Notamacropus eugenii: one gene and its partners. The protein of the gene in region 1 interacts with the protein of each later gene in a biochemical or structural test. Links are inferred from orthologs where the notes say so. Each region holds a gene or a part of one and is shown in the gene's direction. Other genes may lie near its edges. The genes, in order: NF2, AMOT, SPTBN1 and DCAF1.

Region 1 (6,855 bases):
TCAACCTTTCCTTTGATCTCAGACCTTCCATCTTCTTACTCCTAACCAAGGCTAATCCCTCTACATGTCCAAGTGACCTTAACCCCATCCCATCTTCTCCATAAGATTTTCCCCTCTGAAATGGATGGAAGAAACCAAAGCTATCTATAGTCACAGAAGTTCTCTAAATCACTTTTGATTAGGGAAATGCAAATTAAAACAACTCTGAAGTACCATCTCACACCTATTAGATTACCTAATATAACAAAAAAAGAAAATGATAAATGTTGGAGAGGATGTGAGAAAATTGGGACACTAATGTATGTAGTGTTGGTGGAGTTGTGAATGGATCCAACCATTCTGGAGAAGAATTTGGAACTACGCCCAAAGGGCAACCAAACTGTGCATATCCTTTGATCCAGCAATACCCCTACTAAATCTGCATCCCAAAGAAGTCATAAAAAAGGGAAAAGGACCTACATGTATAAAAATATTTATAGCACCCCTTTTCATGGTGGCAAATTATTGGAAACTGAGGGGATACCTATCAATTGGGAAATGGCTAAACAAGTTGTGGTATATGAATGTAATGGAATACTAAGAACCAATGTATATTTCAGAAAAACCTGGAAAGACTTGTGCAAACTGATGTGAAGTGAAATGAGCAGAACCACGAAAACATTATACATAGTAACAGCAACATTTTGTGATGATCAACTATGAAAGACTCAGCTCTTCTCTGAAACACAATGATTCAAGACAATTACAAAGAATTCTTGATGGAAAGATAAAGATCTGATAGACTTTGAATTTAGATCAAAGCACGCTTTTTTCATTTTATTTTTTTTCATGGTTTTCCCTTTTGGTCTATTTCCTCTTTCACAACTCTGACTAATATGGAAATATGTTTTACATCTTTGCACATATATAACATATCAAATTACTTACCATTTTAAGAAGAGGGGAGGGAAGGGAAGGAGAAAAATTTGGAACTCAAAATCTTGTAAAAATGAATGCTAAAAATTGTCTACACATAATTGGGAAAAAATAAAATATTATAAAAAAAAGATTTCCTCCTCTGTCACTCCCAATCTTTCACTTTGTTTCAATCTCTTTCTGTCTGTTGGTTCTTTCCCTACTGCCTTATAAGCATGTTCATGTCGCCCTCATCCTCCAAAAAAAACCCTACTTAATCCTTCCATCCTCACTATCATCCTATGTCTCTTCTGTGTTTTGTGGCTAAAAAGGCCTTCTTCTAACAGGGGCTTCCACTTTTTTTCCTCTCATTCTCTTCTTAAAGCCTTCCAATCCAGCTTCCAAAACGTCTCTCTCCAAAATTACTAGAGCCCTTTATTGCCAAGTCAAATGGCCTTTTCTCAATTCTCATTGTCCTTAACCTTTCTGCAGTCTCAGGCCAGGAGAGCAGGACACACTGACTTCCAAAACATAAATGGAAAGAACAAAAGAGCAGAGATTGAACCTCATGGAGTCGCAGTAACCAAGCTTGTCCCCAAAGAAGACGAGCCAGGTCAGGGGTGGGGAACCTGTCAAAGAGCCCCACTTGAGGACCTAGAGGCCCATCTGTGACCCACCCAAGCCAGACAGTCAGCAAGCATTTATGAAGCGCTATTTATAATGCTTAAAGCAATGCAGTCCCTGCCCTGCCCTGACACTCAACATGCAGATAACTAGGGCAATGAGGTGGCTTTGCAGATACCACATTGGCCTTGAAGTTAGGAAGCCTTGAGCTGAAATCTTACCACAGACACCTGCTTGTTGCGTGATCCTGGGCAAGTCACTTCACCTCTCTCTCTTTTAGTTTTCTCAACAGTATAAAGGGGATAGAAACGCAGCTATGAGGAAATGAGATAATGTATGTAAAGTGCATTGTATTTAAGTGCTTTGTTTCAGGCACTACATAAATGTTAGCTGTTATTATTACTTACATATAAGATGTGTGTGTGTGGGGGTGTGTGTGTGGGTATATGTATGCAGCAAGGTGGTGCGCTGGGTAGAGCAAGAGGCCTGGAGTCAGGAAGACCTGAGTTCAAATCTGACCTCATACACTTACAAGCTGTGTGGCCCTGGGCAAGTCACTTCACTGTTTGCCTCATCTGTAAAATGAGCTGGAGAAAGAAATGGCAAAAGCCACTGCAACTTCTTGAGCAGGGTAGTTACACGGTCAGGTCTATATTTAGGGCTATTAATACTTGTAGAATATGGAGCCACTAGAAGGAGACCAGTTAGGAAGCTGGAGGTAAAAACTACAATCTCAGACAAGTAATCTCATTCTTGTATGGGGATCTCCGTACTTAGGATGCATTCCCCAGGAAATGACAACTCACATTTTGTAGCATGGGGTCAACAAAGGGCTGTCTCCTCACAATAACTCTGTGAAGTACGGGATGCAATGACTGGTCCCCCCATTTCACAGATGAGGAAACTGAGGTTCAAAGAGGGTAAAAGATCTGAGCAGTCACACAGCCAAGAGCTAAACTCCAATTTAATTCACCAGAAATGTATTAAGCTTGTCCCACCTGGGCTAGGTGCTGTGCTTTGTTCCTGCTGAGTCATTTCAGTTGTGTCTGACTCTTCATGACCCCATGTGGGGTTTTCTTGGCAAAGACTCCAGCTCCTCTTGCAGATGAGGAAACTGAGGCAAACGGGGTTAAGTGACTTGCTCTGGGTCACACAGCTAGTCACACATTTGAATAGGAAGTCTTCCTAATTCCAGGATCCGCAGTGTGTGCCCTGTGGTGCCACCCGGGTGCAGACGCAAAGACACAACGAGTGGTCCAGCCCCTCCCCTCAAGGAGCTTGCCTTTTACTGGGGGACCCCACACGTGTACTCACAAGCACGACACGGAAGCACTTCCGTGGGGCGGGGAAGGCTTCTCAGAGCGGGGTGCTGGCTGTGCTGACCCGTTAGTGCTCAACCTGGAGTCATAAGGATCTGAATTCCAATCCTGCCTCGGACAGGTAAACCCCTTAACCCTTTCCATCCTCGGTTTTCTGGTCTATAAAGTGGGGGTGACAAGAGGGATATGACAGCAGATGGGGAACATCATCTCCTCCTCTCCTTCCTCACCAATAAGTTTGCCCACTGTCACCACTGCCAGGAAAACCTGAAGAAGGCTAGTGGTAGTAGCAGCGGTAATGGAGGTGAGGCTGGCACAGGGAACCACCCGCGCACGAAGCACCTGCAGAACAGGCTGGCTCCGCTATGCCACGCCCCTCCGCGACATTTCAGTGACGTCACCGCCACGCCCCCACCCTCTCCCCGCCTCTCCTAGCGGGCCCCTAGTCGAAGCTGGCTTTCTCCAGCGCTCCAGCAGGAGGAGGAGGAACCCGGCAACAAAGGCGGCCCGAGCGACAGCCGCATCGACCACTCAGCGCCGAGTCCGGCCTTACGCGCCGGCGAGACCCAGCTTGCCACTGGCCAGCCTTCTTCAAGGGGGCGTGGCCGAAGGCTAGGCCCCGCCTCCACCGGGTGGGGGGCGGGAGAGGGGAGGTCGGACCAATCGGAGCGGGGCTGGGTGGGCCGCCAGTGCCTCAGGCTACGGGCCGAGGGCGCGCGCCGAGCGGACTGGGCCCGGACCCGAGCGCCCCCGGGAGCGCGCGCGCTCCCCTCACTCACTCGCGTGCCCGTTCGGCCGCGGCTCCTCCGAGGCGGGACGGGAGCGCCGGGAGCGGAACGTGGCGAAGCCTCTGGGCCTCACGAAGTCCTGAGCGCCAGCCTCCGGCCGCCGCCCACCGCGGAGGGGGCCCGCCCCCGCCCTCGGGCCCCGCGGGGTGGGCGGCCGGCCTGGGCCCGGGGTCCGGGGTCAGGGGCCCCGAGGCCCGAGGCCACGCGGCTCCGCGCAGGCGCCATGAGGCCCCCCGGCTCCGCGCAGGCGCCCTGGCGGCCCTGAGGCCTGGGCGGCCTGTGGGCTGAGCCGGGCCGGGCCGGGGCCGGGGCCTTGCCATGGCCGGGGCCATCGCGTCGCGCATGAGCTTCAGCTCCCTCAAGAGGAAGCAGCCCAAGACGTTCACCGTGCGCATCGTCACCATGGACGCGGAGATGGAGTTCAACTGCGAGGTAACTCGCCCGTCCGCCAGCACTGCTTGAGCGCCTCGTGTGTACCCCGCCCGAGTGAAGGAGCCCCGCCCGCCAGGGGGCGGGACGCGGGGGCGCCGGCCACGTGTCCCCGGAGCCGGAGCCCTCCGCGCGGCAGGGGGCCGGCGGGCCGGACCCTCCAGGCGGACCTGAGGCGGGGCGGGCAGCCTGCCGCGCGCCGGGCCGGGGGGCCTCAGTGTCCTCCGCCCCAGGTGACCACCCGATCACCACCGCACCCCGGCCTTGTCGTCCTCGGGCAGGCCGGCCTCCTGCCTCTGCCCCTCCGATCCCTCGTGCGTTCCGTGCCCGGTGTGCCAGCTCAGGGGGTGAAGTTTAGCAAGTACCCCTGAGTGTGGGTGCCCACATAGTACCGATGCACGCCCAGCATCAGTATGTATGATCATACCCGGATTTGTAATGTGAACATGTATGTGTAAGTGTGTAAGTATCTGTGCATGTTTACGTAAGCATGTTGGCACTGGTCAGTCCTTTCAGCAATGCGCCCTCCACGACCCCACTGGGGGTTTCCTGGCAGAGATACTGGAAAGGTTGGCCATTTCCTTCTCCAGCCCATTTTACAGGTGAGGAAACTGAGGCAAGCAGGGTGAAGCGACTTGCCCAGGGTCACCCAGTGAGGGGGTGTTGGAGGCCAGATTTGAGCTCACATACATGAGTCTTCCACATTCAATCCTGGTGCTCTATCCACCGTGCCACCTGGCTGTCCATACAGAAGGATATGAGCACATAGATGTATACATGCAAATATATGTGTGTACGGATGTGTACGGATGCATGCGTGTGTATAGACATACGTACGTACATACACACTGTGAATGTGTCTGGTGGATGTGTGTGTGGGGGGCAGCACTGTGGGATGCAGAAAGCACTTGACTTGGGGCTCGGACGTCTCCTGCCCTGGATCGCTAAAGTCGCTTGGCCTCTGGGAGCTAACATTCATTCCATGAGGGATGCACAGACGTGTGTTTGCATTTGGAGTATTTGTAAATACTGTGTAAAGTGTTTGAAGGGTTGACTAGAACCTCAGTGACACCCAGACTGCCCCATACGTGACAAGCGACCACCCTGGAGCCTGCAGCTCCCTCTGCTTGAAGACCCTCTAGGGTGGGGACCCTGTTGCTCCTCTAGGGGAAGGAGAGCTGGGCTGTAGTAAAGACAGCCCTGGACTGGGGGTCCGAGGACCAGACTCTGCTGCTGGTTACTTGCGTGACCTGGGGCAAGGCGTTTCTGGGCCTTAGTTTCCTCTTCTGTAAAGAGAGAGAGGCAGGTGAGGGGGCAGCATTGGTAGGTCCTGTTCAGGGCCCTACTGGTTGCCCAGAGTGCATGGAGTGAGGCATCCAGAAAGGCCAGGGGGCTGAGGGGAAGGGGGGAGGGGGAGAGCTGACCCAGTCAGGGTGACTTGGGTAGGAGAGAATGTAACAGTGACACCCTTGGGGAGCTTTTAGGTCAGTGAGGTGTTTGGCACACTCCCTTCTGGGCCAATCAAGTCATCCTCACTTTGTGCTGTTTGACTAGGTGACTGCAGGGTCAAGCATGGGTGGAGTCCACGTGTTTGGGCCACGTTGCCCCCTGACACCTCCAGCTAGAGGCTGCCTAGTCCAGCCCCCTCACTTCACAATAAAGGAAGTCACAGAGCTAGTAAGTGTCAGAACCGGGACTGGAACTGGCTTTGGATTCCCAAATTCAGGGCTCTTTTTACCGTGCCATACTGCTCTGTGGAGCTAGAAGAGGCCTTAGTGGTGATCTGGTCCAAGCCCTTCTTTTTGCACATGAGGAAACTGAGGCAGACAGAATTAAGTGACTTGCCTTGAGTCAAACAGCTAGTAAGTGTGTGAGGCTGGCTTTGAACCGGCCTCTAGAGCCAGCACTGTATCCATTGTGGCCCCTAGCTGCCACCTGGTGATGATAGTAGTACCTACCTCACAGGGTTGTTAAATAAGATATTTGTAAACAGTTCTTAGCACAATGCTTGGCACACAGTGCTGTATAAATGTTAGCAATTATTATAGTGAGCAGTATATGGTAATTTTTTTTGTAGGGTGTGAAAGAGGATTGTTTGGCTCTAGCTTGGAAATAGGGAATCAGCTTGAATGGAGTGGGTCTAATGGCCCAGACCAAGTAGTCTTTGCAAAGGCCAAGGCCACTTTAGGAGAGTACAAGTCTTGTGTATCATCTTCCAGTGTCTCATATCATGTGAAGGTGGTTTTTCCACAGGCGAACTTTGAATTTGGAAGCTCATGTTAATGGGCTTAGTCATTATATGACCTGGGAGAAGCTGGCAGTCCAGTCAGCCCACAGCATGAGTATGTGCTGCATGCCAGGCACTGGGCCAAGCAGGGGAGATGCAAAGAAAGGCAAAAGACAGGCCCTGCCCTCAAAGGAGAGACAACAGGCAGACAACTGGGGGCAAACAAGCTGTAGAACAGGCTAAATTGGAGATAAACCCCCGAGGGCAGACAGCAGCAATGAAGGAAAGGCTTCTGGGGAGGAGGAGCTGAGACTTGAAGGATGCCCGGGAGGCCAGGAGGCACAGATGAGGAGGGAGAGCATTCCAGGGAGGTGAGGCAGCCAGTGAAATGTTTGGATTTGGGAGCTGGAGCATTGTGGGAGAGGAATGCCAAGGAGGCTGGGGGCCCTGCATAGCTGAGTACTTGTTGGAGGGCTCTAGTAAGGGACCAGGTTGTGGGTGGCATCTGTGCTTTAGGAAGATCACTCCGGTGTCTGAATGGAGGATAGATCAGATTGGGGAGAGATAGACTGGC
Region 2 (7,334 bases), on another chromosome or scaffold:
CTCACATTTGCCTTCAAGGAGTTGTGCTGGGAGGTTTAAACTAGCCAGTGCCCAAGCTGTGAGTGTCCAGCCCTGACTAACCAGGCAGCCTCCCTCATTCCAGAAGCTAGGACCACATCAGGTTAGGCTTGTGGCACCCATTTAGGGGACACACATTTGGAAGGCTCAGCTATGCTCTTGTCCAGTCTCCTCGAACAGCACCCTCATCAGGTTGCTATAAAGTAGTTTGAAATTGGATTTGGGGCAAAGGAGAGGTGGGGAGGGGCTCTTCACCTCTCTGTTATTTTTAGGACATCACTAAGACCATGACCATGGTTGTGGTCCCAGCCCAGCTCTGAGCCTCTGAGCCTGTTTCCCTCCCCCCACCCCCCCCTCCACCCCTCCACCCCCCGGCCCCAAGATATGTCCGATTGCCTTTTAGAGTTTTTCTTTGCTTGACTTGGGGGAGGGGAGGGGGAAGGGGAGGGCTGGCACACAAGCAGGCAGGGGAAAGGGGAGGTTATTGGGTGCCAATTTTAAAGGGTATAGCATTTCAGATCAGCTGGAAGAGAAGAGTTGGACTGACCAAATTGTGCATTTTCTAGGCAGCCTGGGACTCATTAATGGCCAGGTGCTTCTATGGAGTGGTTCCTTCCATTTCCAGCTGCTAACTCCTATTTTCAGCCCAAATCCAGAGCCTTGTATTCCATGCCTGTTGGGTGACCTCAACTACCATTTTCTGTACCTCTACTTTCCACAGACCTCTTTCTTTGGAGAAGTTACAGTATCAGTGGGAAGGTTCCTAGATTGGGGAGGGGGGGAGGGCATGGAAAGAATGCTAGGAGGGCATTTAATATGATTTCCTCATTTTACAGAGAAAAATACTGAGGCCCACAAACAGGGCAAGACTTAACCAAGGTCACACTTCAGTGAATGACGATTCTTGGTTACATGATCCAAATATGACATTCGAAGCCCCAGTGGAGAAAGTAACTGTTTTCTTTGAAGTGCATTCTCCGTATTGCTCAAACATGCTCTGGGCATGAGCCCATGAGAGCAGGGGTGTGAACACACACACACACGTGCACACACACATATATATACACACACACACACTTAAAAGAGCTCTGATTTAATACACAGGAAGGCACTGATTCCAACCCTTCATGCAGTTTTTTGTCTTTGTTTAAAAAAAACCAAAACCTGTCCTTTAGTGTAGAGACTAGTGTAGATACTCAGAGCATTGCCTGAGAGGTAGGAAAAAAAAGTGACCTGAGTGTGTCAGTGTGAGGACTAGAACCCAGGACTGAAGGACTCTAAGGAAATCTCTCCATCCATTAGGAAACACGGTCGTTTTTCCCACCTTCATTTCCTTAAATCTTTTGAAGACTTTCTACCTAACAGGTTGAAAATATCCCTTGTACCCTTTGAGTGTTGGGAGTATCTTGTGTTGCCCAGGTCTGTGGGATGACGCATGGAACTATTTCAACTTTTGACATCTTGTTTTTCTATTCTGCAGAGTTGAAGTTTTTTAAACAAAACCTAGTTGAAAATTTGGCGGGGAATGCTGTCTTTGAGGTTGGGGACTTTTTAAAGACTAAGATAGAAAATTCTTTTTTCTAGAATGGGATGAGCCCTCCCTGAGCCCAAAGGCAGGGGCATGGCCTAGCTGACCTCTTGATCCCGGACACATCAGCCTCTGTGCTTCCTTGCAGGGTCTGCTCATCCTTTAAAAGGGTGGCTTTATAATTCCTCAGCCCTTTCTTTCTGTCATTCCTCCACTTAGGAATGAGGCTTAGGGAAAAGTCCAGCTTTTGAAGGCATTCCCCCTGCCCCACCCCAATTTGGATGCAAGATGAGTTTCTCACATTTTTCCTTCCCCTTGGGTCTCTTCAGTTTCTCCCCAAGATCTGCAGTTCTGTGTCAAGGAGGGGGAGGCCGATCTTGAGGAGATGCAGAGAAATGCTTGCAGCCAGGTACCTTCCTCCATGGCGACTGAGCATTTGGAATGCACCCATCGAACCCAGTTGAAACCCATGGGAGTGATGGGGGGGGGGAGGTCTTTTAGAATGGTGACTGGGCAAATGTACCCAGGCTGCTGGGGCTGAGCATCTTCCCTCCCCCCCCTCATTCAGCTGCTGCCAAACAAGTGACTTGCTAAGTTACAAGGAGTTCCTGTCTGTTCTGAATGGAGGGTTCTCCCCCTTCTAACTGGTGTGTGTGTGTGTTTGTGTGTGTTTGTGTGTGTATGTGTGTGTGTGTGTGTGTGTGTGTGTGTTCCACCTTTGGCTCCGTTTCTTTTGCTTTCTGAATGTCTCTGAAATCAAGGGCTTCTTTCTCCACTCAGAGGTGCACGTTTCTCCCCCAAGGTCATCATGATGACCAAGTGAGAGGGTCTGGGTGAAAAGCGTTTGACAAACTTCTGAGTGCCTCTATATGTAGAGGGTTCTGTTATTGTTGGAAGAGTCAAATAACCAGGGTGGCCACAGGGTCAATGACCAGAGCAGCTGGATGTCCTAGGTTTGAATCCCACCTCAGGTGCTTAACTCAGTCTCAGTTTCCTCATCTGTAAAATGGAGATCTATCTCCCTGGGCTGTCCTAAGGGTCAGATGAGGCAATGTCAACTTTCTAGTCCTACTATTGAGGCCTCGAAGCAGTCCCCTCCCCCACCCATTCCTATTGATTCCTCTGTACCCTGAGAGAGGAGGAGAGCCATCTCCCTTGTCTGCTTCCCTCCCCCTTATGTTTTGGTGAAGATGAATACTGTAGACAGGCTAAAGTGAAGCCCATAGTACACTAGTGGGAGTGGGCCTTTGTGTGGAGGGGCCCTCGAGATGCCCCAACTCACCATTGAGGGGCCCCTGGCTTTGGGGAAGAATACACTGGGGCTTTGTCTAAAATAACCAGCTCCCTTTGAAAGAGCCTTGCTTTACACCAATTCAATTAAGCAGCAGCAGCAGCAGCCGCTGCCGCCACCGCCGCCAAAATGCTGCCTTTTCAGGGCCACATCTGGTATTGGGGGCCTACTTGGCAAAATTAGCAGCAGCCTAAAGGCTCTGGTCTAGGTGACCCAGCAAGATCCTGAGGCAAGCCTGCCACTCCCAAGTCAGGAACAAATGACCTTTGCTCCAGGGGTTCCCTGTGAGGGGAAACTGTGATGGCTCCCTGACCTTTTCTGGGAAGAAAAGAGACTCCATAGGTTGAGTGATTGAGAGCTGGGAGAAGCAGGGGAGGCTGTGAGGGAGGGGGGCACATGGCAGGGCTGCTGTGTTCCTTCTTCATAGAGGCCAGAGCATTGGGGTTCTAGCACTTCTGAGCCGACGTTCTTCCCCACGTTTTTACAGGGAGTGCAGGGTTTTGTGCCCACTGCAACAGAAGGACACCTCATTAGGCAATTACTGCCATGGATTCCCTATGTGACCTTGGACAAATCCCTTCCCCTTCCACAGCCTCAGTTTCTTCCTCTGTCAAAAGAAGGAGTTGGGATAGGCAACCTCGGAGCATCCCATTCTGAGCTCCTCCCTACCCTTCCCGTATGGGCCTCAAATTCCTGCTCTTGCAGTGTGAGGCTCGCTGGGAGTCTGGAAAAGAAGATGGGGTGGGGGAGGGGGGAAGAAGAGGGAGGGGGCAACGGAGGAAATGCTCCACCACCTCTCTCCTAGGCTGGCTGTCTCGGACAAGGATTAGGTTTGGTCTGTCTGACCCCAGAGGGAAAAACTGAGAGAGGAAGGGGAAGCTGGCTGTGAATCAGTGAGCATTTATTAAATGTTGCTTACTGTGTGCCTGGCACATTGGTACGTGCTGGAGAAACAGAAAAAGCACAGACTGGCCCCTGACCTCTGGGAGCTCATGCTGGACCGGAGGGGACATGTATACCTAGAGATCCAGGGATCCAGAGGGCATAGATGTAAGGTAACCTCAGAAGGGAAGGCTCCAGCAGCTGGGGCTGAGGAGTGGAGGGAGACGGAGACAGACAGTCAAATTTAGGCTTGCTGTCAGGAAAGTCTTCCTAATGCTGAGGGCTAGCCCAGAGTGGACGGGGCTGCCTACGAAGGAAATTCAGTTTCTCCTCTCTCCTCCATTTGTCTGGCCTATAGTGAAGGGACTGCTTCAGATCTGGCTTGGACTAGGTCGTTTCTGAGGCCCCTTGGGGTTCACACTCCGTGCCTCCATGGGGGTGGCCTTTTGCCAGCTGGTTTTCTGCTCGGGCCTCATGTGCTTTCCTGGGGTGGCCATTTAGGTGGAAAGGTAAAGCCTGGGGGAGATGGATGCTAATGATATTCCCTTTAATGCCTGTGCGTTCATTGCCTTTCAGTATCAGGTCTCTGAGGAGGCCTCCCTGTGCATGTGTGTGCCCGTGACGTGGGCCCAGTGCATCCTGTGTGGGATCTTGTGCGGCGGTGGTGTGTTCCGGGAGTGCTGACAGAGCGTTGGAGCTTTGGTGAGTTGGCCCCACTGCATTCTCTGCCTTTGAGGATGCTTATGTACCCGCCAGGCCATCGTTTTCTAGTTGCCCCACAGGGAAAGGCAAGGTTTGCGGTTTGCTCCTAAATCATCCGGCAGTGCTGCTTAGGGCAGGGTGTCATGACACCCTGTAAAGACAACCTCAGCCTGGGTGTGCCAGGAATGCTTCGGGAATGAGGGAGGCCCAGGAGGGAGGAGGGGGGGGGTGGGAAACACAAATCACTTTCTTTAATGACCTTGAGAATAATGGGACCTGTCGAAATGAGATTTAGCTACAGGAAAGAGACAAAGAACGGGAAAAGCACTTGGGCAAGCTTGGCAGGTACTAAGGGCCTCGAATCAGGGACCTCTGGGAGGGGAGGTTCAAGGCCGATTTGCCGTTGCCGCTCTTTGCTGCTTTTCAGGAATGAGCTTTTTTCTGGGATTCTGGCAGAGAGCCTGGGCTTGTGGTTGTGTGCTTGGGAGGTTGGGGCAGAGGGCAGCTGGCAGGGAGGCCTGCCTCCATGGATCAGGACATACCTGAGCTGCGAAAGGTAAAGTTGCTGTGACTGGGCTACCTGGGATTGGCTGAAGGGAGGAATGATGGGAGGAGCTTCCAGTGAGTGATGGAGTTTACCATCTTCAGCCTGGTGAGTGAGTGACCTGTCCCATCCAGGGCTAAGCCCTTGGCTTGGTTGGCTGGGTTGCCAGGCCTTCTGGGAACTCCTGACAGACTGGCACCCACTTCTAGCTATGGCTGAATAAAACCTCCATAGCAGTGAATTCTGGGATTGCCTTGCTGGAATGGGATGACCAGGACTCTGAGGTTTTGGGGAGAGTCTTGGACTCTGAAATATGAGGTCTTCAGTTCCAATCCCTGCTCTGTCAGTTGCCGCCTATATGACCTTTGGCAAGTGGCTTCATTACCCTGGGCCTCAGTTTCTTGCTCTGAAAAGGATCCCATTCTCTAAGGTCTTTTACATCTCTAACTCTAGGATCTCATGGTCATTAGAGTAGATAAGCTTACAGAGTGCAGACCTAGAGGCAGCTACATGTAGGCCAATGAGTCAAGCACTAGGTTTGGAGTCAAGACGACCTGAGTTCAAATCTTTCCCCAGATACTTATTATAACTGTGTGATCCTGGACAACTCACTCAACCTTTCTCAGTCTCAGTGTCTCCATCTGTAAAATGAGGACAATAATAGCCCCTACAACTGGGTCCCAGTTAGTGCAAATAATGATCATATGCTTTCAAATTCACACTATTCAAAGTTAAAATTTTTATAAAATATGGCATTTGGTTGTAGCCCAATAGAAAAGTGCAGTGGGAATTCAAGTGACCTGTTTGGGTGGAGGATTGAGAAAGACAGTAAATGGAATGTTTATAAATGGGAGCTATTATTTAAAAAAATATCTGCAAAGCCATTCCTTTGACATTGCTAGCTTTGAGATGGTGACTTGTCATCAACTCAGAAAGTGTTAATGTGGGGACTGGGCAGCATTTGAAGGTACATTCCCAAAGCCACCCTGATTTGCTATGTGGCCTGGGGTGACTCAAGTTCTCTGGGCCTGGCTTGCTCTTCTATGAAAAAAGAATGGGAAGGATTCATAGAGATTCTGAGGCTTCCAACAATCTGGGCCTCCATGTCCTCCTCTGGAAGAAGTACTTCTAAGATCTCCCTCTGAATCTATGATTCTTGATACACATCAGACTTAGTGATCTAGTGAAAAGGCTTTTAATAAAAAAAAATTGGATTGTAAATTTAGAGCCAGATCTCTGAGGTTTGTGAGCCCCACTCTCCCATTTTCCGGAGGAAAACACTGAGGCTGACAGAGGAATGTGAGTTACCCACAGTCACACTGGTGGCTGGAATTCTAACCCAGTCCCCCTGATCCCCCATTCAGCCTTACCACCTACTATCGTAGGGTGTCTTTTTAATGAAGTTGGCTTTTCTTCTGATCCTTCACCCCTTTCTTCTAGCTGATGTGCAATGCCCTGTGGCAGTCTGTAGCCAAAAGTGATGGTAGGTAGGATTGTCCAGCCCTGCTCTCTTGCCTAGCCCCTCCCCGCCCCCTCCCTCACAAGCAGGGGCTGTGAGGCCTCATCCCTTTAGGTGAATATCTTGCTTGATCCACAGGAGAGCTCCTTAAGAAACATCTTGCAGAGCAGTGAGGACTGGAATGTGCCCAATGAAGGTTTTAAAGCTTTTCAGCCTTGTCCAAAAGATTAAAGAAAGGGTGTGGGGGAAGGGAGATTCGCTAAGGGTGGCGGGGAGGGGCAAAAGTCAAGCTTTTAGAGGAAGATTTGCCTTATGTCACCTATTGATGGTAGCCAGGAACTGAGGCCTGCCTCACCACAACTGGCTTTTATCAGGGCTACCAGGAGCACACGCATTGCCATGCATGGCAAGCCGTCAAGGTGGACAAACCGAGAAGGAGGATTGGGTGTCTGTGCACCCCACTCTACCCACCCCACCCCCACCCCAGCATCTGGCCCACTCCCTGACTGCCATTCTTACACAACCCCCTGCCCCGAGAGCATGGAGCTTGACCCCCCCCCCCAACCCCAGTAAGGACAAATGATGCGCCAGAAGCAGTTTGCTCACTTTTCCTAAGGTCGCTAAGGCTGAGGCACGGAGAGGTGTTCCCCCAAAGCCCGTCTTCCCTGCACATGGTCCTCATTATCCCAGAGGCCTGGACTCCATCAGAGAAGGAGCCGAGAAACCCCAGGCCTTGGGGTGAGGGAGGAGAACATGTTTGGCATATTTGTGGGGAGGGGGTTGCTGACATCACAGAATGTAGTGGGATGAGTATTCCCAGGGACAGCGGTGAGACAGCCGAGGTTCTGGGGGTGCTCTGATTGTTTCCTTCCTTCTTTGCTTTCTTTAAAAAGACAGGAAAGAGACCATA
Region 3 (7,178 bases), on another chromosome or scaffold:
TTTTGAATGGGGTAGCTCTAAACTGAACCTCAAAATGAGTTCTAAGAGGTAGAGAAAGGAGAAAGTTGTTGTCATTGAGAATGCTCGAGAAAATCCAAGGGACCTGCTTTATCATATAAATAGGCAAAAAAGTGGCAAAGTAGATAGAGTACTGGGCCTGGAGTCAGGAAAACCTGAGTTGAAATCTAGCCTTAGATACTTATAGGCTGTGAATTCCTGGGCAAGTCACTTAACCTGTTTCACTCAGTTTCCTAATCTGAAAAATGGGGATAATAATAACACCTAGCTCCCAGGGTGGTTATGAGGATCAAATGAGATAATTACTGTAAGGTGCTTAGTATACTACCTGGCACATAGTTAAGTGCCATATAAATGTTAGCTATTATTAATTAAAATAAAATTTTGTAAGACCTCAAATTTATATTTCCCACTATACCATTATTGGTTGGGCACATAGCAGGGACTCAATAAATATTCATTTGTTGATTTGGACCATTTTGGATGTGGAGAGGAGTTTAGGAAAATAGGGATGGTTTTAAAAGTAAGCCACCCAAGTAAAAGGATTTCAAGAGGGCTGGGAATCTTCTTTTCCAAAATACATCCGGATTCACTGATAAGTGAAAATACATGATAAGGAATTTCATTCCTCCCCCTTATGCCAAATAAAGGTCTTGTCCCTCTTATTTCTAAGATAAACAATATTAATAAGAAATCTACCAGTCACTTACACCATAGTGCAAATAATCTTTTCATAGGAAAAAGGGTTGAGAAAATATTCAAACATTTAGTACATTGAGAGAATGCCTCACTGAGGGGAAGAATGACAATAATAGTTAACATTTATATAGCACTCTAAGGTGTGCATAGTGCTTTAAATATTAACTCTTCTGATCTTCACAACAATCTTGTGAGGGAGGTGTTATTATTTTATCATCTTACAGATAAGGAAACTGAGTCAGAGAGATTAAATTATTTGTTCTGGATCATGCAACTACTAAGTGTCATAAGCAGGATTCAAATTCGGGTGTTCCATCCACTGTGTCACCCACCTTCCTAAAAAGAGGAGGTAAAGAAAGAATGGGGACAAACTCTAATTACTTATCAATTTTCCCTTTAACTAGCCCAACTGAAGAACAAATCGATTTCCTGGTCAACCAAAGAAACAACTGATGACAGAAGAAATTGAATCTAAAATTTCAAAGTATCCTTGCTTGTAGGACTAAATAACAGGAAAAAAGAAAAAGAAAAAAAATATTAATAGGTTTGGCACATTGAGATCACTGTTTACTTAAAGGAACCTAGCAATCATCATCCAGGTCATATTTAATCTTCTTCAGGGTTGATTTTTCTTTTTAACCATTTGATTCTGAAAATGTTATTTTAACAATTAGACATTCATGGGTATAAATTTAACTGTCATAGTCTGTCCTTTTTACCTTTAAAAATATAATTAAATATTAATATCTTGCCCAAAGGCTTTAAGGGAAAGGAAGTTTAATGAGAAAGGAATCACAGAGTAAAGTATTTCCTTAGTTTTATTCATTACTAATAGACTAAATCTTGAGCATGAAAAATTTTTTGTAAAAATCAAAATTTTCCTAATAGCCTTTATGATTATTAATCCAAGATCAAAATTATTATTATTAATAATAATATACTCTCTGAATGTGAGTCATTTTCAGTGTTGAACCTAAACTAAGTAATTTCCTTTTATACTGGAAGTGTTCCATGTTAGGGTGTTTCTTCATTAGCTATAATTCAAAAATGACTAATGACTATCTCTATGATCTAAATCTGTTAATTCCTATTAATTTTTGTTGATTGCCAATAATGTATTAGCTGCTAGATAAAATATTATGAAGACAAAGTTCCAGCTCTCTAGTAGAACCTTTCTCAACTTCTGCATTTAAAAAGTTTCCCTTATATCTTACAATAAAACTTTAAATCAGTAGCCTTCACTCTGAATTTCGGAATCACACTTAATAAGCTACTATAAAGTTGGTAAATTCTTACAGTCCCCGGTACAATGCCATATAAATTGTGAAGTTAAGGAAACATGTTGCCTTTTCTCAGGGAGAAAGCATAAAATGATTTGGGTTGGGGGCAGGATATGGTCTCTACTAGAGCTAGAAGATTAACCATTCTAGTGGTAGAGAGATAAAGGGAGTATTTAAAGACCACTACTAAAAATAACTTTGGAAGTGTTTAAGAATTTATTTCCCTGGAGACTCTGTTGTTTTCTTGTGGATTTCATTGACTGAAACAAGCAAAAACTCAGTCCTCAGGTGCAGCATTCATTTCCAGTGTGCTAATTTCCCTGTGCTTACCTTTATGATGTTTTCATGTTTTTGTTGTGATTTGATGGCATTCCTGAAAAATACTTCATTTATTTCCTTCAACTTCTGAAACACTGAAGTAAGTATAACGTGTGAAAACATTTATTTTGCTCATTAAAAGCTAAATGACTGATTTTTCTGACCCTTTAGGTCCCTTTCCTTCTAACTTGAAAATTTCCAAAATTAAAATTATTTATCGGCATCACAGGATACTACCAGTTTTAAAGCTTTTAAAAATATCCATCTAATCCAATCAATCAACAAGCATTTATTAAGCACTTACTACATGCCAAGAACTATGAAAAAAAACCATATACATATATTATTATATATAAAACATAAAAATGAATACAAGGTTGATTTAGAACTCAAAAGTCATTATAAAGGGAAGAAAAAAGAGAATGCTTAAATTCTGTGAAAATTTAATAATCTTTTATATGTTTTTAACAGTACAATTTTTTGGTTCTACTTTTGAAGCCTTAGGCCATCTGAATTGAGACCCTGACTTTTGGGGTAGACCAGCATTCTGAATAGGGTGATCAGGTACATTAGGCAAGAAATAAATTTTAGTTAATTTTTTATGTGGTACATGTGTGTTAACTAAAATTGCCAGTTCAAATTTCTGCATTTTCAGCAAAACACGATATTCATCTGTAAACACTTAAACACTAAATATACCAGGTCTCAGACCTCTACTGCTTGAAATAGCTGCAAATCAGTAATGAGGTTCTCTAACCTTCCTAGGTCAGTTTTTGTTTTAAGGTTTGGGGGATCCTTCAGAAGAAAAGGTTCAACAATTCTCTTGAGCCGAAATAATAAAAATTGTATAGTGCTCACGTTTTCCTGGATCTGGGCTAGATAACCATACAGAGCAAGTTAACCACAACTTTTGTAGGAGCTTATGTTCTAAAGCTCAGATTTCTAGCTAATGTAGGTAAGTCTTGACGAGAACCTTGACAGGTCCATTACTGAGTAGTGACAGACAGCTTGTTAGTCCCCAGGAAACACTGTATCTCAAAAAAGGGGGTGGGGGTGGGGGCCGCTACGGGATGTTTGCCTCAGGGATAAGAGGCTGGAGTTCAAGTACTAGGCTAGGCTACCTAGGTAGAAAGGGTTAAAAGAATTCACAAAGGGAGAACTTGACCCAGAGAATTGGGAAACAAACAACAAAAAAAGGCGCCCAACAGAGATGTCGCCTTTTCCCCACCTGAGCGGAAACCTACAAGCACTACCTCCCAGATTTAAAACAAAAATGGGGAATCCACCCACTTAAAACCCCCAAACCCAGAAAGCAAACTTTGTCCTTTGTTACAAAATAAAAAACCAGCAAGGAAGAAAGGAGACTGAGCGAAGTCACGTTCAGAATTAGGCTGCCCCTTTCCATGGTGATAATCGAATTAGGCTTCAATTAAACGTGAAATTGGCCCTCTCGGGGGGTGGGGACAAAGCCCCCATTATCCCCGGCGCTCCCTCTCCTCCCGCGGCGGCGGTGGCCCCTATCGGGGTGCCTGGCTTCCAGGCCCGGCCTCGGGGACTGAGGAGAGAAGAGGAGAGGAGAGGAGGAATGCGGAGGGAGGTGAATGTGCAAGCGCACTTGTTTATCAGCTGCAGCCCAGAGAAGGCGCTCGCTGCAGGTAGCTGGGAGGAGGCCCGGGCCGGGGGCTGGAGGAGCGCAGCGGAGAAGGGGGCAGAGGGCGGTGGGCACTCTCAGAGGCACAGAGAGAGTGTTTGCGCGGTGGCGGCGGGGCGCGAGCCGGAGGAGGAGGAGAGGCTTGTGGGTGGGTGTCTGTGCAGCATCCCTCTCCCCGCCCCCTCCCAGCTCCCGCCCGCCCTCCTCCCGCCTGCCTCCTGAATCAGTGCAGCTGTTGCTGTGTGGGCTGCGGATTCCTCCAGTCGCTCCCTTCCCTTCCTCTCCTCCGGGAGCGCAGCGCTGCACTGCACGGCGCCCGGTCCTGTCCTGTGAGCCCCGACCCCCGCGGCGGCTGCCAGCACCGACCGGCTGCCCAGGAGGAGGACGGGACCCCGGCGCCCCCCACCCAACCTCCCCATCTCCCCGGACCCCGAAGAGGTAAGGGCCCCGAGGCTGCGGTTGTCGTTCTGCGGACCAGATGCCAACTCACTGAACGCCTCCTTTCCGTTCCCAGCCCCCGGGTTAGGTGGGTAGGAGAGGATTGCGAGAGGGGGAGGCGCAGGGTTCTGGGGAGGGGGGGGCTGTGAACCTTAGGGTGCTGTGCCAGGACGACAGCGAGGAGAAATCACGCTGACCCTTTCCCAGCACAGAGGTTGGAGGGAGGGGGAGGGGAGGCTGCAAAAACAGGGAGGGAGGGGCGGCGGGGGTGAGTAGGGGTTTGTAGGGCTGGTGACCCCCTCTTTTTAAAAAGTGTTCCTTTTATTGGAGGGCAGTGGGCGAGAAAAGGGGCGCTTGGGGCGGGATTCAGGGCCTAGGGAATGAGCAAGACGGAGAGAAGGCTGCAGGCAGGCTCTGCAGTCTGGCAGCTGCAGACATGGCAGTGTGTGACTGTTGCAGCGGCTCCATCATTAGGTTGCAGCAGACATCCCTCCTCCCCTTCGCCTTTCTCCTCCTTTAAGCTGTGTGCCTCATTTTCCCAGTATTTTTCTGGGGGGAGGCATTAAAGAGAGAGGGTACTGAGGTTCTCGAGCGCATATTTTAGTGAGGTGCAAAAAAAAAAAAAGAAAAAATCGCCTTTGGCTGCTTGGATTGGTGTGTGTGTGTGTGTGTGTGTGTGTGTGTGTGTGTGTGTGTGTGTGTGTGTGTGTGTGCGTGTGTGCGCGTATGTATGTAAAGGAGGGGCAGAAAGGGAGGAGAGTGGGCATCTTGGCGAGGGGTCGCTGACCGTGCTTGGTGACCTAGGTTGCTGGATGTAACGGTACAGGAGATGCAACCAGGCGTGGTCCTGAGCTGCGCTGCTGCTGCTGAGCTGGAGGCGGCGGCAGCAGCAGCTGCTGCTGCTGCTCCTGCTGCTGCTCCCGCCTCCTTTTCCTTCCCTCCTCCTCTTTCTCCTCTTTCTCCTCCTCTTCATTTCCCACTCTCTCTGGACTGGGCGTGAGCAGCTACGGTGCTGGGAACAGGCTGCTTTTTCGGGCTTCGGTGTTCTTCAACAGGTTTGTGCCGACCTGGTCATCTCTTTTCTGGTCCCCTAGGTAGGGTTGTGCTGGTTTGGGAACCCTTCTTCCTCCCTGCTCCCGCACCCTGTTTTCTTGCGTTGGGTCGTTCTCTTGGCTTTTGTGATGGGAAAAGTGTCAATCCGCTGCAATCAGATTTACAGTTGTTCCCCCTCCCTCCTCCTTTCTCCATGTTGGGAAGACAGCCTGATATGATTGCAGGCTTTGCAAACCGTCTTGAATTTTAAGAAGAAAAAAGAGAAAACAGGTGAGAAAAGTATCTGAAGATGGGCCTCAGGAAAGAAAGAATCCATGACTTGGGTTAATTTGTTTTTTAAAATATATTTAATCATGATCTAGCAGGAGTGGGATGATGCAGCACAATGCAGCTAGATATATGACAACCTTATTTTGTTCTTGGTGGCTCTCCTTTGCATAGCAACCCATCGCCCTGTGCTCTTTCCCAACCCCACCCAGTTGGAAAGCTTTTTTTTTTCCAGAGCCTGGGGCTGCTTGTCCCCTGTCATACGGTTTCAGCTGGATGTGGCTTCAAAAGAAACAGATCACCTAGGTGTAGAAGGAGAAAGAGACATTTTTGCGGGGGTTGGGGGGGAAGGAGGGAGTGGATGAGGTAGTGGTTAAGGGACCCTCCCTGTTTGGTTGCTGTTAGGTTGTACTGTAATGAAGAGGAGTTATGCGATTGCAGTTCTAATGCGGTCTGATGGAGCCCAGCCTGCGGCTGTGGACCTTTATCCCATACTATCAAACTACTGTAGGAGCATTAGGGAGGGGCGACAGGAAGAATGATATTGTAAATGTGAGGAAATGGTGCATGTTGTATGTGAGTAGTCATGGGATATATTTATTAGATGGCTGACCACGCCATGTAATCTTCCAATATAATTGGCTTCTGAATATATCAGAAGTTGATGACAGTAATAAATTCACATTTAGCAGCTTAGGGCACCCAGTATTAAGAATATAGGTTTTTAGTTCTAGAAAAACTATGTGCATAAAAAAAAATTAAAGAAGTTAAATGCTTTTAGTTCCTTGGGCCTCAAAAAGTGTATAAAGATGTTAGAATTTCATATATTTTTAAAAATTGCTCTTTAAGGGTTGTAAAAGTGGGCTTTTTTATTGTTGGGGGCTTAGCCAAGTTTTTTCCCCTTTAAATTGAAACTATTTGGAAACTAAATTCACATCTTGAGATAACAAATGAGATTTATATTTAATAGAAATCAAACATTTTCAAGAGTTTTTTTATTTAAGTAGCAAAATTGGCTTTACATATAAGATTATTTCAGTAGAGTCATCATTAAGATGATTGTAGCTGAAATTAACCACACATTTAAATTTCACATCTTTTCTCTTAAGTGTTTTCTTCCAAATGTGATTTGGGCAGATTTTCATGACATGATTTTTTTCTTATGGCTTTCTTATGGCTTTTCTTACGCTTAAGTGTTTCATAGCATTAAGTCAAATGTGGCAGGGAAGTGATTTTACCTCTCTCTTCGTATAGTGAATTTCATTTACAGATGACTTTCCCATAGTTCTCTTAGATACTTGTATTTGAAGTTGAGTAATAAATGGAATTTAGTGCATAATGCCAGTCTAGGTTCTGGTTTTGAGGAAATGTCACCTAAATTAGGTAAAGAGGTACTATCTCAGTAGTTAAACATTTCAAAGCCAAGGATTATCAGTTGATAGTCATATTTTCAT
Region 4 (7,226 bases), on another chromosome or scaffold:
AGAACAAATTATTCTCATCCACTCATTCTGCCAGGGTGAGTCTTCACATGCTTGAGGATAGACATCCCCCTAAAACACCAGAGCAAGTGTCCTTACAGAACTCTAATGTTTCCAAAGGATATTGAAGGAGTTAAATAAGACAAACAGAAGACCAGGGAGTGTGTTGATTCTGTTCTGATTGGTTTTAAGGAGGGAGTGAAAAGAAAAATTAAAAGCAGTAGTGTAGAAAGAGAAAGGAAAGTGTGTTAAAAGAATACACAGACACGATGGAAGGAAGGGGGAGCAGGCATCAAATGAACCTCATTCTTCTGAACTGGACAGAAGAGTTTTTAAGATGTGTAAGTGTGTAGAATATTTCAAACTCAATAGGTAAAGATGGAATAGTCAAATATAAAATAAAATAAACTTAGAGGATGGAACCTGAAGAGAGGATTAAATTAGAGAAAGAAAAAAAAGAACTTAAGATGGTAAAAAAGAAATTAAGATGGTACCTATGAATCAGGGAATGGCTGGACAAATTGTGCTTTATGAATGGAATGGATATTGTTACATTGTAACAAGTCGCAAAAGAGACATTTTTCGAGGAGCCTGGGAAGGTTTGTATGAGCTGATCCAGAGTGAAGAGAGAAGCTCCAAGAGAATAAATTAAATGAGAAAAAAAAAACGTGATAGCAACAATATAATAAAGAAATACAACTAAAAAAATTAAGGAGGGTGATCAAAGAATAGTGACCAAGCATGACTCCAGAGCATGAGGAGGAAGCATTCTGCCAGACAGAAGATTGACTCAAGGTGTAGTCCATCAGCAAGCATTTATTTAGTGCTTTCAATATGATAGGCTAAGTGTTGGGTATACAAAGAAAGCAAAGATGCGGCCCCTCCCCCCAAAGAATGCAATATGAAAATAAATATGTGTATGTGGATATATGCATACCTGCATAATAGAGATATGTATATATACCATACACATATATATGTGGAGACACACACAGTGTGTATACATGGTGTGACGAGGGAACTAGTAAGTCAATTAGGGAGGTGTGAAAAGATTTCTTTGTGGCAGTGAGGACTAGTCGGGGTTATATGACAAATTTGCAGTGGATCTCATCAGTAATTTTGTGACTCTTCAGCTCTGTTCAGCAGCCTAGGAATAGGAGTCAAGATAGAATCCAAGGTTGGGATTTAGCAAGGTATGATCAGTTATAGAAGACGGGAGATGGAGGGGTGAGGGGGAATGTATAGAGTGCAGTGTAGAGTTGAACTAATTCACCAAAGAGTTGAAATAGGGAAAGGAGGACAGTGTAGCCAAGGTAGGGGTGAGGGCCAGGAAAAACTAAGGGATGGAAGAGTTGGAGATCACATTGAGAATAAAGGATAAGCTTAAGACTTGCAATAAAGGGAGAAGTATGGGACGCTAAAATTAATGACCTTATAAAGGAATTTCAGAATTTATGAACGTAGAAATAGAACACTTGTAGGTGATGAAGCATTGTGGTCTAGCCATCTCTGTGTGTTGCTGAAGAGGAATGGAGGAACAGATCATGGGAACTGAATAAACTGAGAAACTGGGAAATTAAGGTGGTTGAGAAAGAATCAGTAAGTAGGTTGAAATCTCATAGCAAAAGTTATGGAGGAGAAAAAGACTATGAATCAGGTACTGAATTCGTGAAGGAAGAAGAGTGTCTGGGGATCCATAGATAATGGTCATGAAGATCATGAAGAAGGTTTGATGATAAATTTGGAATCCCAAAAAAGGGAAAGATGGTACAGAGGAAGAAGAGGGGAGCTCAGCAATGGGATAGAGGAGAATCTGAAAGTGTCAGCGGAGAACAAGGAGCATTGCAACATCCTCATTTCACCAGAGATTGAGGGTTATTAATAAAAATGCAACTAGTATTGGAAAGGGTGGCTTATTGTCAATAAGTTTCAATGAATGCCCCAAAATGGAAGGAGAAAGGAAATAATTTATAGAAGGTGCAGAAAGAGTCAAACATTTTCAGATATGGACACTGCAGATTTGTTGTGCTTGATCATGCTTGTATGTCACAATTATTTTTTTTGCAGTAGTGGCATTTGAGGAGGAGACAGCTAGCACTAGAGATGTCCTTTCCCCAAAAGAGAGTCATTGAAAGATTTTTTTTTAATACATGGCAAAAACAGAAGGAAATTCAGAAGGAAACAGACAAACAGGAGAAAAGACAGCTTTGATAAACGTTGAGTTTATTATGTATTTTTTTTAGAATAGCAAGCTGTACTGAATAGATACTTGCTGTTTTATATACAGTCCTTTTTATATTCTACTTTGTACATGAAAATGCTTTCTTTTTTGGTGTTTGTTAAGCTCAGCATAAAAAAGACCCCTCTAAAAGGCAACTCAACTCAGATTAAATGCTATGATGAATGGTCCCAGTGAACAGATAAAGAAATACTTGCCACCGCTCTGTAGAGCAAAATGTGTGTGTTGCGGGGGAGGACTTTACAGGTACACTGTAAGATACATATACTGTTGTTTGGTTGTAATTAACTTTTCTTAATTATAGAGATAGTTTTATTAGGGGGAAGGAGAGAGATATATTGGGTAATGTCTGTGTTACATAAGCAGCTAATCAGCAGCAATACTTTTTTAAAAAATAAATCATGAAAAAGTGAAAGGATTGAACAAGGTGTTCTCTAAGGTTCCTTGTGGATCTAAATTCTACAATCTGATTCCCCATTTCATCCTCTCCCAACAGATGGTAGCTAGAGTATACAGAAGGCTGCTGGCACCAGGGTTGAGGACTATAGAAGTAAATGGAAGCTCATTGGATAAAGATCAGGAGAAAGAATCCATATTGCCCCAAAGCCCACTAGAGGTCAACAAACTAGGAAGATGAGTTTGGACTCATCCAAGGGAGGCTGAACAGGCTAATAGTGAAACTGAAGTTCATACTATATGAGACAGTTCAAGGAATGGGGAACGTGAGTACGGAGAAGACTGAGGGGGAATATGATTAATGTCTTCCATGATTTTAAGGGCTGTCCTATGAAGAGAAATAAGGCTTGCCCAACTGGGAACAATGGATGGAATTTACAGAAAGACCAATTTCACCTCAAAATAAGAAAATATTTCTTAACCGTAAGAGCTGTCTGAAAGTGGAATAGGTTGAACTCAGGAAGTAAGGAGTTCCCTATCCCCCTGTAAGTTGTCTTCTAGCAGAGACTGGATGATAACTGTCTAGGATAACTGTAGAAGGGATTCCTGATCAGCGTAGGTTGAATTATAACCTCTGAGGTCCCTTCCAGTGTTAAGATTCTATACTTCTTTAGGAACAGTGCTGCAATCCAGTGGAAATCACTAGGTCAAGTACAATTTTCCCCAGTATTTCAAAGATATGACTCTTCTTTCTTCATGCTCTTGAGCCTGCCTCACTCCTCAGCTTGCCAAACATGCATTATTTTGACCTAAGAAGGTTTCCTGGGGAAAGACAGAGTAGTCCTTGGTTCCTCTGAGGGCTCAGAGAGGCTTTATCCAGTTACCAGAGTCCTCAGTGGCTTCCTTGTTCAGCACTGAGTGTAACAGGAAGCCTTTCCTCCACTTGGGGACCCTTTCCCCACTCCATAGGGGTGAATGGCCAGCTTTGTGACTTCACAAGGCATGACCTCTGTGACAGGCAGGGTCCTGATGGACATGGTAGCTGGCCTCCAGGAGGGTGGGGATGACCGTCAGCTGGCAACATGTGAAACATCATAGAGCCTGCCCCTGGAGGGAGTACTTGTGAGCCTGCCCCACCACGGTAAGAGAAGATGACATCCCTTCCCATCCAAAGAACCCCTGAGAAAGGGAGAAAGCTTGATCTAACCTCTCCCTAGGCTCTAGCACATAGACATTACCCTTCAGTTATCCATGGTTGTTATCCATCATTGGCTTTCAGTAGTTATGTCCTCCTTTCTGTCCAGCTCTCTGCTCAACCACCTACCTGAAAAGACAGGTCTTTAGGAAGCCCATGGTGCTGTTAGCCATTAGATATGAAAGCTAGTCATGGCTAAGGGATATCCTACTAGGCCTTATTAGGCACTTAGAGCCAAGAGTGAGCACTTGCCCTTCTGCATCTGTCTCTCCAGTCCATACCTTTGTGCCTAGTAGGTCCACTATGACTGTAATGTGGAGAGTTGCCCTCTCTACCCGTTGCCCATGCCTATTCTTATTATGACATCATAGATGACCTGTTGAGCAGCCCCCCAGGGGAGTTTCTGACATTCACCATCATGGCTCCCACTCAGGCTGCAGCAGAAGGAATGTGTCCCAGGGGAGCCTGGGAAGGGGACTCCTTCTCTGGGGGTCTTTTCCTGAAGGAAAGGGAGTAACAGCTCTGGGAAGTCATCCAAACCTACTTCCCACTTTGGTCTTAAGCAATCTCATTGAGGCCCATGCCAGCATATACTACCATTCCAGGTGACTTTATAACTCTGGTGCAAGGACGATGGACTTAATTCAGCTCCTTTGAGGACTTAAAAGGAAAGTATTTTGTCTTCTTGTCTCCTGTTCTAAAATCAGAGCCTTCTGGGACCAGGTTCTGGCTTCAAGAAGTCCTCATTTTCCAACCTTGAAATGGGTTTAACTGTGTCTTTGCCTTAATCTCTGGCACTCAGCTTTTTCTTCCAAGAAGATCAAATTCATTTGTGGGCACAGTCAATTCACCATGAACTAACTGTAGTCCTAGAAAGGAAAGCTCATGGACAAAAGCCACAGCTAAATTTGTGGTGGTAAGAACATGAACTTGGAGTCAGGAGGTGTGGATTTGAATTATAGTTCTGACATTAGCTGTATGAGTTTGGGCAAATCATCTCACCCTCTGAGCAACAAGGTATTCATCTGTAAAATGGATGATAATGTCTGTAATACCTACGTGGGGAATACTCTTGGGGGTTGGGGTGGGGGGGTGGAGAATGGCTTATAAATTTCAAAGCACCATAAAAATGATAGGATTTGGAGCAAGAGATCATCTAGTCTAATAATGCTCTTAGATTTTTGCTGTTCTGTAGCACTGTCCAACTCTTTGTGACCCCATTTGGGGTTTACTTGGCAAAGAAACTGGAAAGGTTTGCCATTTGCTTTTCTAGCTCATTTTACAGATAAGGAAACCAAGGCAAATAAGGTTAGGTGACTTGCCTGGGATCTCACAGCTAGTAAGTGACTGAGGCCAGATTTGAACTCAGGAAAATGAGGCCTTTGCATTCTATCCACTGCGCCATCCTGCTGCCCCAATCCTCTCAGATCACACATGAGGAAAACAAAACCGAAGAAGGTTATAGAGAGTAAACTCATTCAAGTCATCATTACCAAACTTTAGTTTATCCAATAAAAGAAATTCTAGTTATTCCCTTGAAGGAAAGTAGCATTAATATAGAGAATTTCCAAATAATTTCTGTTTATCCTTGTAATGTATTAAAATTGTTTTTTAAATTTTCCTCCCTGCCTCCGGCTTAGGTCGGAAGAGTGAGGATGCACGGACAGGATCAGTATACAAGAGAGAGAAAGGCAGAAGTGTTCTAGGGCCATGGTTGGGCAAGCTAAGTTTTCAATGGCCTTGAACAAAAGTGAATCCACAGGGAGATAATTGAGAACTGGCTATAGTTTCAGCCTGCTTTCCCACTAAGCATTTTCCACAGCTGCCAATAAAGGGAATCTCCTTCTGATCTCCCTTCTTTTCTGGGTCAGCAGTGATTTAACTAAGAGGGAAGAATGGAAGAGAAAAAAAGAAAGAGCCCCAATAATGCACAAATATCTTTCTTAGCTGCAAGTTGACTACATGGCCTGCCTTATTCATCTCAAAACCCACTGGAACTAGGGGAGATTTCATTCTCCCTGTTTTGGACGAGAATAAACTGAGGACCTGAAGGATTAAATGAGCAGCTTCCCTTAGTGAGCCAGTAGTTGGGCACTGACAAAGCAGAGATTTCCACTGAGCATTAAGGGTTCTAAATCTGGGAACAAAAGCCAATGGATCTCCCCTATCCATTGGAGATGGGTGATCTGACCATAAGTGGGGTGGGAAGAAGAAGAGAGGGGATGTTGAGGATTAGTAGGGCTAAGAAAGCTGAGGTATTTGTGAGAGAGGTTGGGCTTGGTCCCAAAGCTTAGGGTCAATCTGGATAAATGGGATCTTTTGAGTCCCAGAGGACTACAGAGGCAAGGGATCCCTCTCCTCTTGACCTCACACGAAGGGGAAGATCTGCTTTTTGTAAGAATTATGGCCATTTCTGGGTATCACACTTTAGCAGTGAAATTGGAAAGCTCAAGAAGAGGAGGGCACAAGGGAAAAATCACCCTAGATAAGACCTGAGTATGTGGAGCTTGCAGAAGGGAAGACCTAAGGGAAGCAAAAAACAGTATCACAGAGTGGAAAAAACACTGGATTTGGAGTTAGAGAACCTACAAACACTAATCTTGGGCAAGTCATTTCCTTTCCTCTTGGCTTCATTTTGATAATCTGCAAAATGAGGGGCTTGGACTAGATGATCTCTAAGGATCTAGAGATCCTAGAACCCTAAGGATTTGAGAAGCTGGATTCAAAGCCTTCGGTTTAGATCCGAAGGACAGAGTTAGGAACAATGAAAAGTTATATGAAGAACAGATTTAACTTTGTGAAGAAAAATTCTAAGAAAGAGAACTGTCCAGAAGGAGAAAGCAGAGAAAGGGAAACTCATTAGGAAGTAATGAACATTCCTTCCTCTCCAGATGTCTCCAAAGTGGGACCACTTTCTTGATGGTACGTTGTGGAGGGAATTGCTCCTCTGTCACGCTGGATTAGATGAATTTCTAACAGAGATTCTATGAAGCCGAGGTCAGAAATCAGGAGGAGAAAGGTTTAAAGGAAATCTCTGGCAGTTCACCTAGAACCCCCTTCCCAGCTCCCTGAGGAGGGTGGGGTGGAAGTGGGAGCAGGAACGAGAAAACAACAGTTAGCATACAGTTCCTTACTTCTTGAAAGGAAATGTACTTGGCCATGTAATGTCCCAGGCACTAAACACAAATAGCTTGTCCATCTACTGCTCCTCTCTTTCTAGATGGATGGAGGGACTGATTTATTGGTCATAACACTAGAAAGAATCTGTCTTCTTCTGGCTTAGATTTGCAAAGGCAGGATTGTTTATGGGAGCTGAGAAGTGTGAGCAGCTGGGAAGTCTTGTTTTATGAAAAGCAGACAGGACCCTTGATGAATGTGGTCTCCTCCCCCTTGCATACC

What was found.
Region 2: the proteins of NF2 (region 1) and AMOT form a complex in vitro, tested with the Homo sapiens proteins (2 studies listed by BioGRID and IntAct). The link is inferred for Notamacropus eugenii from reciprocal best matches to the Homo sapiens genes NF2 and AMOT.
Region 3: the proteins of NF2 (region 1) and SPTBN1 form a complex in vitro, tested with the Homo sapiens proteins (2 studies listed by BioGRID and IntAct). The link is inferred for Notamacropus eugenii from reciprocal best matches to the Homo sapiens genes NF2 and SPTBN1.
Region 4: the proteins of NF2 (region 1) and DCAF1 form a complex in vitro, tested with the Homo sapiens proteins (3 studies listed by BioGRID, with this or other methods). The link is inferred for Notamacropus eugenii from reciprocal best matches to the Homo sapiens genes NF2 and DCAF1.

What each region holds. Positions count from the first base shown.
Region 1 is NC_092875.1:16,051,659-16,058,513, reverse strand, and holds the start of NF2 (merlin), read left to right. Parts: upstream 1-3,842; 5' UTR 3,843-3,943; coding exon 3,944-4,057; intron 4,058-6,855. UniProt on the Homo sapiens protein: Probable regulator of the Hippo/SWH (Sav/Wts/Hpo) signaling pathway, a signaling pathway that plays a pivotal role in tumor suppression by restricting proliferation and promoting apoptosis.
Region 2 is NC_092879.1:97,026,325-97,033,658, forward strand, and holds the start of AMOT (angiomotin), read left to right. Parts: upstream 1-4,312; 5' UTR 4,313-4,421; intron 4,422-7,334.
Region 3 is NC_092872.1:651,984,274-651,991,451, reverse strand, and holds the start of SPTBN1 (spectrin beta chain, non-erythrocytic 1), read left to right. Parts: upstream 1-4,164; 5' UTR 4,165-4,404; exon of another isoform or gene 4,405-4,492; intron 4,493-5,136; exon of another isoform or gene 5,137-5,498; intron 5,499-5,607; exon of another isoform or gene 5,608-5,727; intron 5,728-7,178. UniProt on the Homo sapiens protein: Fodrin, which seems to be involved in secretion, interacts with calmodulin in a calcium-dependent manner and is thus candidate for the calcium-dependent movement of the cytoskeleton at the membrane.
Region 4 is NC_092872.1:3,306,203-3,313,428, forward strand, and holds the start of DCAF1 (DDB1- and CUL4-associated factor 1), read left to right. Parts: upstream 1-4,224; 5' UTR 4,225-4,844; intron 4,845-7,226. UniProt on the Homo sapiens protein: Acts both as a substrate recognition component of E3 ubiquitin-protein ligase complexes and as an atypical serine/threonine-protein kinase, playing key roles in various processes such as cell cycle, telomerase regulation and histone modification.